Caenorhabditis elegans: one gene and its partner. The protein of the gene in region 1 purifies or fractionates together with the protein of each later gene. This does not show direct contact. Each region holds a gene or a part of one and is shown in the gene's direction. Other genes may lie near its edges.

The links.
Region 2: the proteins of T21E12.5 (region 1) and Y23H5B.8 fractionate together in Caenorhabditis elegans (co-fractionation; one large-scale study listed by BioGRID). This does not show direct contact.

The regions. Positions count from the first base shown.
Region 1 is NC_003279.8:4,411,653-4,415,142, reverse strand, and holds T21E12.5 (Guided entry of tail-anchored proteins factor 1), read left to right. Parts: upstream 1-1,900; 5' UTR 1,901-1,921; coding exon 1,922-1,969; intron 1,970-2,015; coding exon 2,016-2,081; intron 2,082-2,138; coding exon 2,139-2,229; intron 2,230-2,437; coding exon 2,438-2,546; intron 2,547-2,601; coding exon 2,602-2,848; 3' UTR 2,849-2,918; downstream 2,919-3,490. Other genes in the region: tiam-1 (DH domain-containing protein), read right to left, coding at 775-847, 3,274-3,341.
Region 2 is NC_003279.8:2,545,770-2,550,376, reverse strand, and holds Y23H5B.8 (T20D4.11-like domain-containing protein), read left to right. Parts: upstream 1-1,977; 5' UTR 1,978-2,049; coding exon 2,050-2,256; intron 2,257-3,044; coding exon 3,045-3,173; intron 3,174-3,222; coding exon 3,223-3,411; 3' UTR 3,412-3,991; downstream 3,992-4,607. Other genes in the region: Y23H5B.3 (T20D4.11-like domain-containing protein), read right to left, coding at 4,224-4,436, 4,514-4,570.

The DNA.
Region 1 (3,490 bases):
GTTATTGGATTATGATTTATTACCATTGGGTTTTGGCATTTGCTAGGTAGAATATGAAAGTATGACACAAATATTTATACGTAGTCATGGGAATTTTTCCATTAAAACATTTTCTTAACTGCTCCTAGTTTTTCAGATAACTAATTAAAGGTGGAGCAGCGTGAATGGGGATGATATTTAAAAGTAATATTAAATTCAGAATTATCACAGAGAAAAAAAAATCAAGGAAGAACGATAAATCCAACTTTTGAAAAAGCAATTTCTCGATTTTGACATATCTCTTCGTTTGAATTTTTTCCAAATCTCAAAAACTACAAAACCAACCAGCCACTTCCACATTTTACAACTTAGTCAAGTGTTTGGACTAGCTTTTAAAAAAACTGGAATACAATTTTGAACACGAGCCTCGCAAAACACTTTGCCACTCATTCCAAAAATTCAGTAAAGGTTTACAAAACTACTTTCGAGACAGCAGCAAGTTTTGTTATTACATTTTCGTAATATTTTGATTTGAAAAATTGATTAAAAACGCATATTTTTTGGCCTACCTCCAAAGTCAATATTTCGTTTAAAAAATGTTAATGTCTGCACCAGGGATGTATGGAAAATTTGCCGAATAGTAAAAAAAAGTCGATTTGCCGAATTTGGCGCACACCCCTTGTCTGCATTAAAAAAAAAAGAACCGGGAGCCTTTCCAAAAATTTTCGAAATTTAAGATGCTACAGGGTACATTGTGCGCGAAAAAGAAGCCATAAAATGACAATAAATACTCACGTTGGCCAGCCTTCCGTCAAGCTTATCCCACTTTTGTCCGTCCTGTGATAACTCAAACAACTCCGCGTCAATTCTGAAAATAATTGGATGTGAGAGTCAATCTTCTAAGTTGTAATAAATGTCAAGTGATACTTATTTGTTTTCAATAAGGTCTCTTACACAATCACAAGGCATATTCAAACAAAAGGATGAGATCACTTGAATGACAAAAGTGTCTTATTTGAAGAAAAGTGTTCGTGTCCTTGATGGAATCGAATAGAGTAATAAAATCCATAATTAAGAAATGAACACTTTTTTAATTAGTTCTCTTCACACTTTTGTTCCTTTTGATTTAAGAAATCAATTGGCCGGAAACATTCATTGGCAGATTTGCATCGTTTGGCAATTATATGCCTGTGTCTCATATCAACTATAATTCACCAAACTGAGATGGGACCTCCTTCATTTGAGTAGTTTGGATCAGGGGTGGGCGGCAATTGTCGTTCAGGAAATTTTTTTGTCTACAAGTTCGGCAAATCGGCAAATTACCGTTCGCCGATTTTCCAGAAATTTTGATTTTCGGGAAATTGCCAATTTGCCGTTTGCCAAACAACATTTTGCCGGAAGTTGGGGGATTTTTTATAAGACGGAAACAATTAAAAATGTGCCTTTTTTTCGAAATATTATCTCGTTTTTTCTAGATATTTTGATAGAATTTGCTTACTTTTCAAAATAGATGTACAAACATTCATAGGTTCATAGGATCGGTTAGCCGATTTGCCGGAAATTTCAATTCCGGCAATATGCCTATTTACCGGAAAAATTGTTTGCCCGCCCCGGGTTTAGATTTAATTGGAAACTTATATGGTTATACAGCATACCGAAGTGTTCCAGTAAATAAATGTTCACTGAAAGTCCTTCAAAGAAAATTTTGAGCAAAATTAGCAAGATGAGCAAAACACAAACAACTTTAAAAATTTTTTTAAATTTGATACTCTTTGAATGTAGTTTTCAGCTTTAACATTTCTATCGTAAGGTACAATATTTAACAAAATTTTAAAGTATTGCACATTTTCAATACGTGAACCTTAAAATACCAACAATTCGCCATCGCGTAAACTAAAATTCTGAAAACTATTTGTTCACTTTTTCGTCTAAACTTTCAAAAATGGCCCAGCCAGGTGATGTTCCTTTGAATATTAAAAAAGTTGACCTGGTAATCTTTCTTTTTATCAAAATATATTAATCAATTTTTTTTTCAGATTGATGGACTAGGATTTCAATGGAATAATTCGATTGTTCGCTCTACAGTCTGTTCTATTTTTAAAGTAAGTTTTGAACAAAGTAAATAAGCATATATATACGAATGAATCTTAAATTTTCAGGTAATAATAAAAGTGGTGTTCCTTATGATTTGTGTCAGTGCATGTTGCGTTTTGCTGTGGCTTGAAGCAATCACAATTGCTAAGACAACTCGTAGGTTTTTATAATCAAAAAAATGATACGAGGCAATACTTTCCTGCCTACCTACCGCCTACATATTCTCAAAGTGAGTAAAATAAAAACATTTAATTAAGATATAGTTTTTAGAGTCATATCTCTGGCGAACAATAATTTTTTCAAAAATTCTTGAAATTTTTGAGAACCCATTTTCTACTACACCTCTAAAATCAATAATTTCCAGCAATCCACACATTGGAAGAAATGCAACAAGTTGAAGACGAAGAAGCTCTGATGCATATAAAATGCTTCATCCTTTTATTGTGGTCATTTTCAGTTTACACTCTTATCACGTTAGTTTTTTATTTGAATTTCTACAGTTTTTCAGCAATTCCAAAATTTTTCCAGAGAAATGACAAAGATCATGCTGCTCAATGAGAAAATTCGAATTCTCGAATCAGTGAGACATCGTTCGAAAATGGAGTCAACTCTTTCACTTATTCGACAAAAATCATATTTCGACGCGTACGCCTCTGATTTTATTATTCGAAATCAGCAAAACGAGAAAATCAATACGGTTAAAGATGAAATGGATGCAGAAGAAATGGTACATCATTTGGTTCATGGAATGAATCCTCATAAAAATTCTTATTGAATAATTAATGTCGCTTTTCAGTTTTTATAGATTATTTAAGTTTTTTGTAATAAAGATTTGCGTTGATAAAGTTTAAATTTGAATAATTTAACTGAAAAACCTTTTTTCTATTATTTATAGCAGAAACTAAAATTTTGAATGTTTCAATGTAAAAGTTGGTTTTATTCTTCTCCACTGTCTTTTTTTCCGAAACAAAGTGTCTAGTTGACGAAAATTAATGACATCTCGGTCAGAATCTTGTCTATTTTTTGTCCCCCTCATCCAATCTACAATTTGTCAAATACCAATTCCCCTTCGCACACTCTTTTTGTTTATTCTAACCATAACTATAATATCTATCTTTTTTCAGAGTGTTAGAATAATAAACACGAACCAACTGTGTGAATGACAAGTAGTGATAGATATTTCTCAAAGAAAAAACAAACCTCAATGTAGATTCATCATTCGTCCAGCATTCGGCTTGTGAGCAAGAACATGAGAGGCGTGAGCCCATTCTGATTTGAACGCGGTTCTCTCTCACTGACAACAGAATGGAATTCCTGGAAAAAAAAAATTAGGATTGAATAATTCTGGCAAAAAAACTATGTTATTCTGTTAACAGCGAAGTTGGAAAAAGTTTTATATGTTGCAGAGAGAACAGAA
Region 2 (4,607 bases), 1.9 Mb from region 1:
GAGCCGGAGCCGGAGCTGGAGCCGGAGCCGGTTCCTCAACCTTCGGCTTCTCTGGTGGAGTCTTCGCTTCATCCTCGACTGGCGGCTCTTCCGGCTTCTTCTCGACTTCTGGCTTCTCGCTAGACGCTTTCTTCGATCTTTGTGATCCCTCCTTCTTCGATCTTGCAGATCTCTGCGATCACTCCTTCTGAAACAAAAGAGCTTCGTAAATATACACTGTACTCCGTAAATCTACACAAACCTTCTTCTTCTCGGACTTCTGCTCCTTCTTGAGTCGAGCCGATCTCTGCGATCCTTCCTTTGCCTTCTCCGCCGATTTTGCAGGCACTCCACTCTTGGCCGGTGGTGCCGGAGCGGCAGAATTGCTCTGAAAAGATGGTTGTTACAGTGGCCGAGAAATAACTCTTCCACTCACCTTAATCTTCTTTTGTCGTTTCGAGTTTTGTTGTCTCTTCGAGTTTTGCTTCTTGTCTCGTTTTGATCGTTTCGATCGCTTTGATCTCGCCGATTTTCCTTTGCCACCACGCGAATTCTCACGATGTCCGGTGGTACAGCCGACGGCAATGATCGCTCCAGAAATTGACGCAGCAGCAGCGAAACACACTGAAAAACAAGGAAATTGAGATAAATTGATATTTCCGGCACTTTTGGCAATCGATAATTACCGGCAACTGTCGCCATTGCCTTTAACTATTACGAACCGGCAAAATTGGATTTATCGGCGCTTAGCGGCAACTATTGTTAATTGCCGGCGACTATCAGTAATCAATAAAATTAGAGTTTCATTGCCGGCGGTCAGCGGTGACTATCGTTAATCGAAAAAAAAATCCATTTGTTACAAGTAATGGCTGCTGCCGGCCACTATCGGCAACCGCCGGCGACTACCGGCAATCAATAAAATCGGAGTTATTGAAGATTGTCAGCAACCATTATGACACTTATTGATTTTTGTAGACACGCCGGCAACAGAAGCGGCAATGCTCCGACAACATCCTCGGCGATCGCTCAGCAACCATCGGCAACTTTTCCTAAACTCACGGTAATTCATGGCACCATGGAGGTGCTCCATATCCAAGCTCATTGTGAAGAGTCGAAATTTCGAAATAATTGATTTTTCGCCGAACAAGATTTGTGGTCCCGTGAGTTGAGATTTGATTATTTGATAAGAAAGGTCAGCACGGTCATTGACATTTTTTTAATTTTAATTTTTTTCTTTTTAATATTTTTGAAAAATAAATTTTAAGTAAAATTTTAGATAATTTTTACAGTGGTCTCTTGTTGATCTCGGCTGGAAGAGGAGTGACGTCACAGATGGCCTAAGAAAATGTGGTGTGACCAAGTTTTCCGCCAATTTCTGTTTCAGAAATTTGTTTAAAAATTTTTTTTCTAATTCAACACTAATTTCTCCTCAGAAAATTCAATTTTTCCGCCAAAAAAAAAGTTTCCCAGAAAATTTGAATTTCTCGTCAAGTTTTTTTAAATCAAAAATTTGAATTACCCGCAAATGTTTTTCTTTAAAGATTTCAAGCTCCCGCAAAAAAATTTCTGAGAAAATTAAAATTTTTCGTCAATTTTTGTTCAAAAAAATTGAATTTACTCGCCAAAATTTTTGTTTCAGAAAATTTGAATTCCCTCCCATTAACTCAAACAATTTGAAATTCCCGCCAATATTTGCCACAGAAGATTTAAATTTTCCACCAAATTCCGTTGTTTCAAATTTTAATTCCCCACTAACTTTTGCTCAGAAATTTTGAATTTTTCTGAAAAAAATTTGAACAAATTTGGCATATCCCTTTAAAAAATATAGATGGCAGATAAAAAACTACAAAAAAAATTTAAGTCGATTTTCCCCATCTCTCCATTGGAAAAATCGATATTTCTATACCTAATAAATATGAATCCGTTGACCTCAAAATATTTGTTTTCCCGACTTCAGAGACTATCTCCCGGGAAGATATATCTTCACGGAGACGAGGGATATATCTTTCGATAGGTCATTTCTTCTTCTTCTGCTATTCAATTGTTATTATTCAATATTTATACACCGAAATGGCCAAAATTCTCTTGTTCCTTCTCTCGACTTTCTTCGTTTTTTCCATTGTCTCCGGGCAACAAACAAACTATGAAAATTGTCTCACGAAGCTCAACAAAATGAAGAATATTTTGAATAATTTGAAGCTGGAAACTACGAAACACGGCAAAAATGTGAAAATTGGTAATTTGGAAACATTTTATCATATGTGCATTGACACAACGGTTAGTTTTATTTTTTTCAGCAAAAATTTGAAAAATAGAGTTTCGAAAAATATTGAATTTTCAACAAAAAATTTCTGCAAAAGTAGTAGGTGGCCTAGAAATTCTGCGGCCACCGATTTCCAATTTTTCTCAAATGTAGTTTGTGAACATTAAATTCGTTTCAAATAATGCCAAAAAAAATTCCATGGGAGGCAGGCGCGGTTTCAGGGCCTGCCTTCATCCTGCCCGCCTCAGCCTCTGGCCTCTCAACATTTTTCTACACAATGGCGAGAAGGAATATTTAGCACATTGGCAAATTGCCGGTTTGCCGATTTGCCGGAAGTTTTTAAAGGGATTTTTTCATAAGACGGAAACACTTAAAACTGTGCTTTTTTGAAAATTTTCCCGTTTTCTTTAAATATTTTCATAGAATCTGCTCACTTTTCAAAATATATGTAGGAAAATTTATAAGGTACGTACAAATCTGCCGATTGAAATTGAAATTCTGAAATTTCCTTTAAAAAATTGTGCAAAAGCACAATTTGCCCAAAATTTTCGGCAATCTGCCAATTTACCAATTTCCGGAAAAATGGTTTGGTCGCCACAAGGCGGGCGAGGTAGGCTTCTCTGCGCCTGCGTGGAAGCCTACTGGATAGAGCTTCTGTGATCACAACCAAGAAGTGGGCGGAACGAAAGGCCACGCCCGTTTAACGGCTCCCAAAAAAATTATGAGCATCAGAGGCCACGCCCAAAATTTGGTACATCACTTTTAGTTTTTTTTTGATATTTAAAAAATTAAAAGTTTTCAGAACTGCGTAGAATCAATGGAAATCCCAGAGCTACTAAAAAGTATTTTGAGATTCGGAACAATGTTCATGAGATCCGCCTGTGAAGACTTGGGCTTAAAAGTCGGACCATTCAGTAAATGCATGGAAAAGGTACCTACAAGCTTCTCCGAAAAAGATCCTCTAGAACATTTTATTTCAGACAAAATTCGACGTAACTACTCTGAAAAACACGACGATTGGAGAGGATAAACCAAAGTGCTGGTTGACACCTGACGAGTTTTCAGAGCTTCAACGGGTTGTTCAAGAGCAATGCGGAGATGAAGCATGGGAGGATATGTTGAAGAATGAGGATAAGGTCAAAGTGATGACTTGTGAAAATCAGCCATAATGTATCCAAACGACATTCCGATTCGCGGGGGTTGATCCCCTTTTTATCAAATGAAAAGCACCTATATTGTGTTCATTGTTTTTTTTAACCTTATTTTAACTTTAACCGGGAAACGAAGCCCAACTCAGGATATGGGCGGACTCTCTGTATTTTTCGATGTATCGATTTCCTTTGTTTGGATTTCCGGGATCTTGGTTGAAATTATAAATGACCAGGACATTAAGAAAACATTGGCCATAACGATTTATTTTATTTTTAAAATTCTAACAAACTATCATAAAACTGTCTCTGTTATTTATTATAGTTATTTATTATTTATTTATTATTTATTTATTTATTATATTTATATATTTATTCCACAAATTCAATATGCGAAAAACGAACGAAACCCTGTGTGCCACTAGGTAGGCGTCTGCGCACATTCTGCGCCGATTAATTTCTTTTCTATTTATCGGAAAGTGCGCAGACGGCGTCAAAAAGTGGGGCTGGAGACCAGCCACAGCCCCAAAAGGAGCTCAGCCCCACTGTAGGGGCTAGCTAATAGTGCATCTTTATGTTTTAAATAAAAAGTGCATTCAAAATTTGCGATACATCCATTTTGAGATAGTTTGTGAGCTGATAGCTTGTTTTTAACGATATATGAAAAATTGGTCATTTTTTTCTGCGGCCGACTTGTTGAGATGCTTGCAGAGATTATCTCTAAAATGTTGAGAAGTAGGAAAAAGTTGTCATCTGGTCAACATTTAGTTAGTTGATAGCACAAAATTGCATTATATAAAAGTTTCAAAATTGCCTTCATTCTTCAAACATCTTCATTTCGAATTAGGATTACCTGAAATTTTGATTTTCAAGCTATTACTAGAATTATTTGAAGGCTTGTAGATCCTGTTGCATCCAAAATATTCACGAATAAAATTCTCATTATCCAGCATTTCTTTGACGGCACGGGGGCCGCATATATTTTCTATTGGCATTGTCTTGCATTCATTGTCAGCCTCGAAATACTCGCATGTTGGAAGTTGTGCCTAAAAATCATATATTTGTAATGCAAATGCGCTCCACAGCACGCAAAATTCAAACTTATGTAAAAAAGAAATCTTACCGCATTATTCCAATGGCTTAAGCACGGCCACTCCATTAATGTGATGGCATTTTGAATCTGAATTTTTTTTCAGTTTTTGTCTCTTTTAGTCTTT